3 linked regions of the Tribolium castaneum genome follow. The protein of the gene in region 2 interacts with the protein of the main gene of each other region in a pairwise test. Links are inferred from orthologs where the notes say so. Each region holds a gene or a part of one and is shown on either strand. Other genes may lie near its edges. The genes, in order: Prosbeta6, SCAR and CCDC53.

Evidence for each region.
Region 1: the proteins of SCAR (region 2) and Prosbeta6 interact in a two-hybrid assay, tested with the Caenorhabditis elegans proteins (3 studies listed by BioGRID). The link is inferred for Tribolium castaneum from reciprocal best matches to the Caenorhabditis elegans genes wve-1 and pbs-6.
Region 3: the proteins of SCAR (region 2) and CCDC53 interact in a two-hybrid assay, tested with the Caenorhabditis elegans proteins (2 studies listed by BioGRID). The link is inferred for Tribolium castaneum from reciprocal best matches to the Caenorhabditis elegans genes wve-1 and ddl-1.

The regions. Positions count from the first base shown.
Region 1 is NC_087394.1:25,341,564-25,344,425, reverse strand, and holds Prosbeta6 (proteasome subunit beta type-1), read left to right. Parts: upstream 1-1,446; 5' UTR 1,447-1,570; coding exon 1,571-1,665; intron 1,666-1,711; coding exon 1,712-2,324; 3' UTR 2,325-2,362; downstream 2,363-2,862. UniProt on the Caenorhabditis elegans protein: Non-catalytic component of the proteasome, a multicatalytic proteinase complex which is characterized by its ability to cleave peptides with Arg, Phe, Tyr, Leu, and Glu adjacent to the leaving group at neutral or slightly basic pH.
Region 2 is NC_087399.1:10,151,419-10,155,694, forward strand, and holds the start of SCAR (actin-binding protein WASF3), read right to left. Parts: upstream 2,890-4,276; 5' UTR 2,730-2,889; intron 1-2,729. Other genes in the region: uncharacterized protein LOC107398411, read left to right, coding at 3,462-3,863, 3,918-4,276.
Region 3 is NC_087402.1:711,041-715,138, reverse strand, and holds CCDC53 (WASH complex subunit 3), read left to right. Parts: upstream 1-1,216; 5' UTR 1,217-1,347; coding exon 1,348-1,398; intron 1,399-1,458; coding exon 1,459-1,623; intron 1,624-1,694; coding exon 1,695-1,933; intron 1,934-1,983; coding exon 1,984-2,026; 3' UTR 2,027-2,106; coding exon of another isoform or gene 2,107-2,244; 3' UTR 2,245-2,290; coding exon of another isoform or gene 2,291-2,464; 3' UTR 2,465-2,632; coding exon of another isoform or gene 2,633-2,635; 3' UTR 2,636-3,347; coding exon of another isoform or gene 3,348-3,452; 3' UTR 3,453-3,453; downstream 3,454-4,098. Other genes in the region: RpL36A (large ribosomal subunit protein eL42), read right to left, coding at 2,107-2,244, 2,291-2,464, 2,633-2,635; acidic leucine-rich nuclear phosphoprotein 32 family member B, read left to right, coding at 3,348-3,452. UniProt on the Caenorhabditis elegans protein: Acts as a component of the WASH core complex that functions as a nucleation-promoting factor (NPF) at the surface of endosomes, where it recruits and activates the Arp2/3 complex to induce actin polymerization, playing a key role in the fission of tubules that serve as transport intermediates during endosome sorting.

The sequences.
Region 1 (2,862 bases), on a different chromosome or scaffold from region 2:
CTGTAAAGCATCAGTTGGTTTCACAAAATATTGCTTTCTTCATAGTCATTAGTCATTACATAAACATCTATTTTGATATGTCAGTATTTATTTCAATATTGGGATGATAAATTTATAAATAATATCGGGAACCATAAAATACTGTGAAAAAATCTATTAGCAATGTTGAACCGTTTGAAATTGATAGTTAAGTTTGCCAAAGGAATATTTAACTGAACAACAAATGATTTTTTTAGAGACATTTAAAGTTTTTCAAAAATCAAAAACAAAAAGTCGTAGAGTAAAATGGTTTGTTCCAGTAAATTTTGCGGCTCATACTACGTATCAGTTTTTCACGAGAATTCAAATTTTGATTTTTTTTGCTTAAAAATTTATTATTTTTTTAAACTCACTCTAGGAAAGCTTATGGACTTTTCTATGCCTTTATAACTCACTCGGGTTGTTAAAAGTATAAAAAATGTCAATAGGTTCTTAAAGTTTGAGTTTTTTAATTTTTGCGAAATTTTCTCGATTTTCGGTACCCGGAACATTAATCAAGCAGTAACACCGGAACTATTTGAGATAACCATATGGTCTAATTTATTATCGTTAGAAAGCTCTTTTATCTATATTTTTCAAAAAAAGATGATATTGTTCTCCGGCTAAGAGTTTTCGAAGAAAATTGCGAATAAAAGCAAAAATAGAAAAAATAAAAAAAATCATAAGTAAAAAGCTATTGGAAGTTTGGTGATTTTCTTGACGTCGATTGATTTCCAGGATCATTTTACACAGGCTTAGACCAAAATAATTTAGAAAATAGAAAAATAAAAATAAATAAATTATTTTTTAGTTTTTTTATGATTTTTTCATCTCTGTTGTTAATTTCATCCTCATCAAATAAATTTTTATTGTAAGAAAAGGTAACTGGTTTAGTATTAAAATTATCGTATCGGAGTCAATTTTTTTAAGTTTTAATTAAGATAAATTAATATCATCCACATTAAATAATAAGTCTTTAATTTAAAAGGTTAGCTTTAATTTAGTTTTTAAATTGTCATATCTGTACCAAATGTTTTTTAAGTTTTAAGGTAAATGTAATAAAGTTAATGTAATAAATGTTGTTAATTTCAACCCCATTAAAAATAAATCTTTAATCAAAAGAGTAATTTTTGGTTTAATTTTTAAATAATCGTGTAATACAAATATTTATAAGTGTAATAAATTAGTCGTTATACGTTTAATTATGTTTTTTTTTCACATATTTATCGTAAGTTCGGCGGTGTACCTAAACTAAAAAAATTTGGCGCTGCATGTTATTTTTAAAATATTTATTATAGGCAACCATTTATACAAATACCAAATTCGAGCCGACGCACATTCTTTACTCCATGCCTGGTCTGAAAAGTAGTAAAAAATAGCCTTTTTTGTAAGAAACACGTTTACGACTAAAATTTTGATGATTGTGATTTATTTAAGTATAATTTGTTGGTTTTGTAACGATTCAACCGTGTACGATTTCGGTCGCTTCCATATTTGACATCTGACATCTTATTTTGTGTTGTCATTCAATTCGAGTAAGTGTTAATACGAAATGGCTTTATTACACTCCGAAAACCGCCCCAATTACCCCGACTATGCTACAGCCCCCACACAGCACCACTTCAGCCCCTATGCCGACAACGGAGGGTAAGCATTCCTCACATTAAACCCCTCCCTACAGCCCCTTTTGTAGGAGTGTGGTTGCAATCGCCGGCGACGATTTCGTGGTAATAGGCGCTGACACCCGTCTCAGTGCCGGTTTTTCAATTTACACCCGTGACCAGAATAAATTGTTCCGTTTATCGGACACTACAGTACTGGGATGTTCGGGTTGTTGGTGCGACACTCTCACCCTGACCCGCATTTTGAGCGCTCGCATGCAAATGTACCAACAGGAGCATAATAAAACCATGGCCACACCGGCTTGTGCCCAAATGCTATCAACCATGTTGTACTACAAGCGGTTTTTCCCATACTACATTTCTAATATTCTCGTTGGATTGGATAATGAAGGGAAAGGGTGCATTTATAGCTACGATCCGATTGGACATTGCGAGAAAACCACGTATAGGGCTGGGGGCTCCGCGGGGGCCCTCCTACAACCGCTTTTGGACAATCAAATTGGCTTGAAAAATATGCAAAACGTCAAGGATTCTAAATTAACGTTGGAGAGAGCAGCTGCCATCATCAAAGACGTTTTTATTTCAGCCGCTGAGAGAGATATTTTCACAGGGGATAGCATTTTGATTAACATCATCACCAAGGATGGTATTAAGGAAGATAGTTTTCAATTGAGGAAAGATTAAATTGGTGTTTTTTTTGCTTAATAAATCAGTGTTTGGTATTGATTGTTTTATTTAACAAATATTTCGGTAAAGGAATTCTAATTCTACCACATACAATAATCTAAAAAAATTATAACAAATAGGTCACACTCAAATATCTAAACATTCGAATTATTACTTTGACGTGATGATTGAACCACGGCTTCCTTGATCAATGAGGGACACGGCTTAACGTGGCGCCATCTGTTAGTCAACAATTGGTTGCCATGGTTATTACCACCTAACTAGTGTTGCCAGACCTATTGATTTTTCGGTAGACCTAAATCAGTTTGAAAATATTTACACTACAGTATAGATTTAAAAAAATGTTGAATTTTTATATACTTTAAAATAACACGATAATGATACGAACTGCAAAGGCCCCTGCGTTTCCACGTAGAGTTTTGACTAAAGGGCATTTTTCGAGTTTGCAATAAAGGCACAATAAGCGGGGAATACATTAAATTGGGTTTTAATGAAAAATAAGTCTCAAAATGACCATAATGTCTAAAGTAACTTG
Region 2 (4,276 bases):
TTATGACTGATGACACCCAGTCCAGCACATCCAACAGAACTATCTACTAAAAGTAATTGCATAAAAGTTTTCTTTGTGAAACCACTTTCGGTTTCACAATGAACATTTTGTAAAACCATAATAGTAGTACTATTTTCAATCAGAAACGCATTTTTTAATGTGATTTCGTCAAAAATACACCGCAAAATTATTAAAATAAGTCAAAGTTTGTTACTTTTGCTTTTTTTCGAAAACTTTAGATTTTTGTTTTTTGGCAAAAAATTCATATTGTTTCAAAAGATTAGTTACTTAATCCGAAATAACTCTGAAAAACAATTATTAACGAAATTTTGTCAAAAATAAGCCAAAAGCCTTTAAAACACCTCAAAATTGGCATATCTTTCCAATATAAATCATGGAAATTAAAAAAAAAGAAAAAAATCGTCTTATTTTTGTTTTTTTGAGTTTTTAAAACGTTTGGAAACGTTTATTTTGCAAGGTTTTGCTGAAACCGGCCAAAAAACACAAAATTATCTTGAAAATGATTCCATTTTCACTTTTTTACGGCGTTTTTCACATAGAAATGCTTTATTTTGCAAAATTTCCAAAATAAAGCCAAAAAATCATTGATACAGTTCAAAATTAGTGTAATGTTTGTTTTTTTTAGCGTTTTGGATCTTTTTAGAGCAAGATTTAGATGAATCATATTAAAAAACGTAATGATTTTGCGCTAGAAACCAGAAAAATAATGAAACCAAATCGAAAATTTCGTTATATTTGTTTTGAAACGTTTCTAAATTTAGTTTTTTTTCAAAGATTTTGCTAAAGCGGGTCTAAACAATACAAATTTAAATCTAAAATGACTATTTTTGCAGATCGAAATCAGTGTTCGCATATTCTTTTAGCATGTTAGATCGTTTTTAAGCTAAACACTTAGCTTTTTTGTGAGATCTTGTCAATAGAAATCACAGACATTTGGAAATCAAGTCAAAAATTGTAATGGGTGCTTTGCTTTTAAAACGTTTCTAAATTCAGCTTTTCTAATGAAATGGGTCAAAAAATGAATAATTTAACTTGAAAATTACTTTTTTTGCTTTTTGGGATGTTTTTTATTGTGGAACGCATCAAATATGTCATAATTAGTGTTATTCTTGCTTTTTTAATCGTTTTATTACACAATAATTTGGTTGTCTATTTTATTTTTGTAAAAAAAATCGTCAAAAAATAAAATGTTAATGTTAATTTTTTCAGAAAAAATTTGGTTATAATCAATATTTAACGTAAGTTACAGAAGATTAGAAGATGTTCATAAAATTTTCAGGGCTCCCCTGACTACAGTTTCATTTAGACGCTTTCTAATAGATTAGATTTTGCAAAAATTTTGTGTATGGCTTTAATCCTTTAATCATACTTATTGGGACAAATAAATAAAAAAAGGGGTGTGGTATTATTTAATGAAAAATAATTTTGCAAAAATCGATTTTCAATTTCTTCTGTTGATTACATTCAAAACTTTTGGCAGTGTTTTGAAATCATTTAAATGCTCATAAAGAATATGAATCAATTGGTTGTTCCCTAGATGTGATAAAAACTTGTGTGACAAGACATGTGTGTAGAGTAGATATGAATATGGAACACCTAAATACACCTGAAAAATATTACAACCATGATTCATCAAAATACTATTAACACTTCAGACCTTGGGAGTATTATTCCTGTTTTAAGTATTTACACTAGATAAAGCAGTACATTTTTGAGAGAATTTCGACGTAAATTTTTATCAGGGAAGCCACTCCCTTAAGTTCTAAACTGAATAATATCCTAATTTTTGAGAAAATAGTTATTTAAAATTTAATTAGAAGAATATCACATTTCCATCGAAGGTCATCAATAATATGTCGTTATGCCGATATAAAAATACAGTATTTATAATAAAATAACCATTAAATGTAAAATGAATGATTTTTTGCAAATTAGTTAGAAAAAATTGCGTTTTTGACCTCGTTTTTTTGTTTTCAATTCATTTATTACAGAAACATCGATTTTTAACAATTCTCACTTTAGTAAACAATTATCATAACTGATTAGCGTGATTTAATTTTAAGTATTCCTTCACCTTTCCCAAATGTAGTAGACCTTTGTGTTATTGTTATTTTAGGGGTTGAAGGACGAAAAAATCAGTAACTATGACGACAACCAATCCAATTATTGGATTTCTCATTTCTAATAATAAGTGCCCTTTAAATTTTAACAGAATCACACGTGATTACATCAATTCCGTTTAAAAAATGCAATCGTTCACCAATTGAACTTTGAAACGCACCGCTACAGAAGTGAAAACTAAACCGTTTCAACATTTCTTGAAGAAAAAAGGTTAAATCTCTGTTTCCCGTTTTCGTCACCATATGTTACCGCTTTATGGAAATAAATAAATTAGTGCATGACGTGCGAAAGACATCTGTGAAGGTTATTAACCGCCAATTAATAAACTAAAGCGTGGCAGGAAGTGCCCCAAACTGGCTTCGCTCTCATCAATACTGTCTCCAACAAGGAAGTGAGTCATTAGGGGGCCACATACGCCCCATTTAACAAATATGAGCAAACACAAGCTGCAAGGTCAAGTCATTTGTCGCAATTACGCGAACAGACACCGCAAACGGCCAGATTTTGGGGCAATTTCTCGCAGAAAATGTCAAATAGAAAGGGGAAAGGCCAACTAGCAGGAGTCGAGATTTCCGCCCATTTCTTACCTCGGCATGGTCTGGGACACTCACTGGGGGGCGCAAACGTTGCCACACATGTTTTTGCACACACGACACTAATTGTTTCGTTAAAAACGGCGATAATTTAATAAATATCGCAGAAAATGGCGAAGCGGTACACCCAACAAACACGATTGAGCAGGACTGCCACACCCACGGAGCGAAAATCACCAACAGCAGCGGCGTCGCGTCAATCAATATTGCGGCCACTTTGGGGATAAAATAAATAAAATTGGGGCGTGCGAGGGAAAACCCTCATTTTAATACATTTTTGTGCGAATGAGGGTGTCATTGCTCGACACTTGATGTTTATTTGGGGGAATTACCAGTGGCGTGCGGAACGTACTGGGGATTTTTGTGTTGGCAACGTTATGTAATAAAAAACTGTTTTTCTTAAATTATTATATTTATAAAATAATAGTAATTTTTGTATTAAGTGCGCGAAATGAGTGTTTTTTTAATGGCGCCTGAGAATGTTATTTTAGTCGAGACCGCCAGGTCGAGACCTAAAAGACATTCGAAGGCGCCATTAAAACATGAATTTCGCCACGAAATACAAACAACGTTTTTTCTACAGCCTCCAGATGAAGAAAAAAGTAACAGAAATTAGTTGGAACAAAATGGTCTGATAAATCGAGTTGCTTGCATGGTTACGATGATAAATAAAAGTGATAGTTGCGAAAAATTTGTCACAATAGGTATTTTTGTTGAAGAAGTGTGATGGATTTTAGCAGCGAAAACGAAATAGATGCAATTGCAAGCGCGGCAGTGTCGAATCTTTTGCCTGCTAAATCAAGACCGCAGTACGAAAAAACGTATCTTCAGTTTCGGCAGTGGTGTTCTATGAAAAAGATTGATCAAGTAACGGAAAATGTTTTGTTGGCGTATTTGGAAGAAAAGTCTACCACCTTAAAGCCACCAACACTCTGGGCCCTTTATGCGATGTTGAAAGCCACCTTAAACGTTAAAGAGAATATCGATACACGTAAGTTTCCGAAGTTAGTGCCCTACCTGAAAAGCAAAAGCGTAGGTTACAGAAGCAAGAAGTCGCAAATTTTAGACAAAGAAGACATTAGCAAGTTTATTAATGAAGCAGATGACAAGATATATTTACTGATGAAGGTAAACTTATCATATTAGTGTAATACAAATCAAAACAACTCGTTTTATTTATAGACTGTGCTAATTTTGGGTATATCGGGAGCCCTTCGACGTGAAGAATTAGTTAAAATGAAGCTAACTGACATAGAAGATAAACAGTCTGTCTTAATTGTGAAGGTGCCTGATACAAAAACCCACTGCGAACGAATATTTACTGTTTCAAATTTAGAAAATATAGAAATTGTCAGAAAATATAGAGCTTTGCGGCCTCCACGGGCGACTAGTGACCGTTTATTTTTAAAGTATACCAACGGAAAATGTGTGAATCAAAATGTTGGAATTAACAAAATCGGAGAGATACCAAGTTTGATTGCAAAGTGGCTTAACAAAGACGAACCTAAAAAATATACTGGTCACTGCTTCAGAAGAAGCTC
Region 3 (4,098 bases), on a different chromosome or scaffold from region 2:
TGATCGGAATTATTACACAAAGTTATACAATTTTAAGTGTGTTGATGTTCAATTGTTTGGAAAGTTTAAAGGTAGATTGTTAGTGTTTTCTAAAGGCTTTATATCTTTATATCAGCTGAAGTATTAAAGTTTTTTACAAGTAAACAGTCTTTCATTGCGTCATAAGCTGCAGCCAACTGTCACCGGAATTAAGGTACATGAATGTTTTGCATGATTTTTTCTTATAACTTGTTTTGTTTTATTAATTGGTTGAGCTTATGTTGGCTAACAATTGGTTTGTTTAGTAGTTTTGCGTGATTTTAAGTTAATTTGTGATTTGGCCAATTTATTAATGATTTTTTGTTAGGGACGCACCAACCCTTCCTACTCAACATTCCATCCGAAGGCATTAAAGTCGAGCCCAGAGGTAATTTAATTTTATATTTTTCCCCGCTTTAGTGTTTTTTTCTAGATAAGGCGCCTTCGCCGTACGGCGGGCAGATGTTCGAGGCGCCCATCCCGAACGTGTCGCCCCATTACGTGGCCCCCACGCCCCCGGAAGCCCCTCTGTTCCAGAACGTGCTTCCGCCAATCGGAGGCATGATGAACTGGAATATGCCTTCGACTTCAGTAGTCGGCGATATGTTAAACATGAATTGGAATCCTTCCGCCCAAAATGATCTCAGTGGTGTTAATTTAAGTGAAACGCCAAGTGGTATAAGCAGTTTATTAAATCTGGACAATCAACAATTGGAGTTGAAACCGATTGACTTAAACTCGGGTGATTTAAGCATGCTTGAGACAAATAACTTGTCAGAGACTTTCACCCAAAATCTATCGCTTATGGACGAGAGTGAGGGGCGCCAGGAGCCGAATATGACTGATAGTTTAACGCGATTGGCCAATAGCGCGCTAGATAATATTTGCCAAGCTAGTGATATGTACAAGGGTGCTCCATGAAACCACCATTACTTAAGTCTAAGTAATGCAAAAGCGAGTTCAATATTTGACATTAAATATAACAGTACTGTGTACCGCCCTAAATTCAATGATAGTTTTCTTATAAAATTGTTAAGGTTTGTAGTTTAGTCTATATCAAGTTTATTTATACTGTGATTGTTTTTATATTTTACAAGATGCAATGTTATTTTATAAATCTGGCATAATAAATCTGTTTTATTGAGCGTGTTTGCGTTTGTTAATTGCATAAAAAGCGATCCTTTCGCCACAATCTAACCTCAAACGTCACTTTTGACAGCTGTCACTCAGGTTCTTTGTGTCCCTTTGGAGCCAATTAATTCAATAAACTTGTGCCGATGCCTTGATTCCCCCTAATTTTGAGTGTTTTTCACTCAGATAATGTAAATAATGCAAGTGAACGACCTTTCCTCAATTGATCCAAATGTGGATTACACGCAGGTAAGTCTTTGAAAAAAGCGACCCATTCGAGCAACAATCACGTCCAACTTCTCCACTTAGATTTTACCCATTCAACAAAAGCGCACGATTGCTTTTATCAATCATTTCGTAATGAATACGGTGTCGTTTTTAAACCATTTTGCACAGTCGTGTGAATCGCGTTTGATGGAATTCGAGTACAAACTGCAAGAAGTTGAGGCTTCTTTACTTATACTTGAGTCGCAAGTAAGTATTGAACAATGCTAGAATGCCTTAAGTTCCGATTATTTGGCGCAAAAGTGAGTCGGTTGTGTTAGTTAGGTTCAATTGCGCATTTAGAAGAAAACACTGCAAAGGACTCGCCTAAACAAAACGATTTAGATCTGCCTCCTGTTAAAGACGAGGAGACGCAAATTGAAAAAAATGTAGAGGTAGAGCCTGATGTTGCGTCAGACCCGCGATATCAACGCTTTTTCAAAATGTTGCAATTTGGGGTTCCCCCAGCTGCTGTCAAGCTGAAAATGCAAACAGAGGGACTTGACCCTTGCATATTGGAGTAAGTACTACTATCACTGGCGAATCAGCAACACGTCCGTTATTTTTTAGTTCCAAATCAACTGATACGCAAGACAGTTCCTCGGTTAATTAATTGTGTTAAAAAAACATTGTTAAAAGTATAAATAAAACACGTTATGAATTTTTACAAAATGTGTTTATTTAGTCAAACAATTAGAACTGAATCATTTGTCCCTTGCGCTTCTTGTCGCCACCCAATTCAAAGTGCTTGCAGCGTTTCAAGGGAATCTGTTTCCTATATTTACATTCAGTGCATTCCATCCTGAGCACGATTTTCTTGGTGGTTTTAGCCTAAAAACACACAATAGCCCCACACTCAAAGTAGGTAAAAAAATACCTTCTTCCTGAAGATGGGCTTGGTTTGTCCACCGAAACCTTGCTGCTTCCTGTCGTAACGTCTCCTACCTTGCGAAGCGTGACGTTCCTTGGACTTTTTGTATTGGGTGACTTTGTGCAACTTGTGCACCTTGCATTTCTTGCAGAAGGTGCGCCTCTGCTTCGGGACGTTAACCTAAAAACAATGACATAACCCCACAATTCATCAAACGTCCTCAAAACGCGAAAATAAACAGGAATGTGCCCTTCCAAGGACGCCAAATGCACGAATTCGCTAAATTTTCGGTAATTCAAAGGCCGATTATTGCGATTTTTTGAGATATTTGATTGAAAACCTGCTTACCATCTTGGGATTTTCTTTATTGCAAAAAAAAGAGAGAGATGCAACGTGTCACACTATGCGCATGCGTCGTTTACATTGGCGCGAATTTTGAATTGCTATATTGGATGAAAGATAGAAAAGTGTTTCGTTATAAGTTTATAGAGTTTTAATTCGTTTCACGTGGTCGCAAGGAAAAATAGAAGAAAAAGTTTTTAAGACGCATTTTTGCGGCCACAAGGGAAAGGCGTTTTAATTAGTGGGTAACAAGTCGTGCCGAATAGTTCCCTTTTAAATTGAGTCAATAATCGGCTGTTTTTCTGCATAATAATAAAATGAATGTGATTGTGGAGGGAAATTTTTTGAAGAGCGCCCCTGGCGGTGGCATACTCAAACCACGTTTTTAATCTCGGTCCGGTTCGTAAAACTCAATCCGTGCTCTCGGAACCCTCATGAGCAAACACCTTGCAATTAATTTCATAAAATCTGGCGCACGTTTTTTGGGTCCGAGACACCGAAAAAGCTTGGAATTTGTTGTCTTTTGGTTTTTGGCGGTTGGTGTGAATAAATAGTTTAGGGAGTCGAAAGCCGGTCACTCGTCCAAGTCCGGGGCCGATCGGTTTGAGCGGCGCCATCTTAATTTTTGAACAAAGCTAACGAGTAGCCGGTCAGTAGTGTTCAACGTTGGTGAACGTCACTTTTCGATAAAGCGTGAAACCCACACAGGAATATAAACAAAATGAGTTCGAAAGAAAATAACGAAGTTGCTGTCGAAAAAATCGACAACGACAAAAGTGCGCCCGACGCCAAATGCGAGTTAAAAGGCACGAAGCGAGCGGCGGAGGTGAGTTCGACTGTTTCTTTCGCATTTACGCTGCTTTGCGATAAGGTCACATGGCCGTTGGATGTTGTGGTCGGGATTTTCGCGTGGAAAACGCGCGGAAACGCCGTTTTCACGCGTTTTCCGCGGGATGGTTGCCATGTGAACGGGGCTTTTTCCCGGCGCGGAGGCGGCTTTGCGACAATACGATGCTAAATTTGTTGTTGCCATGGTGTTTTCGACTGTTTTTCATTATGGCATGCGGTGTAAACACGCTTGGAAAGCATCCCGCCATATACAATGGACCCCGGGTTGAGGCTAGCATCGCTTGCTCGATTCAATATGGCGAAATCAATAGCAACTTGGAGGCGTCCTCGTGCGAGGCTAGATGCCACACTAATATTTTAATAACATCGGATTCTAGAAAGATTTCCGCGTGCGAGTTGACGATTTCGTTGCAAATTTCACGATAACCCGGAGATTGACCACTTTGGTCCGGTTTTTCAATGCAAAGCGTCTCATAAAGCTCGCTGGAATCAACAGAGTTGGACATTTTTGATGCTACGCTAACGAGTGGCAAAGATTAAGATCCATCATGGATCAGAATTGTGAATGAAAAGAGCGTTTTTAGTTAGTTTGCTTGTTTATTTCCATTTTCTCGAGCAAGTCG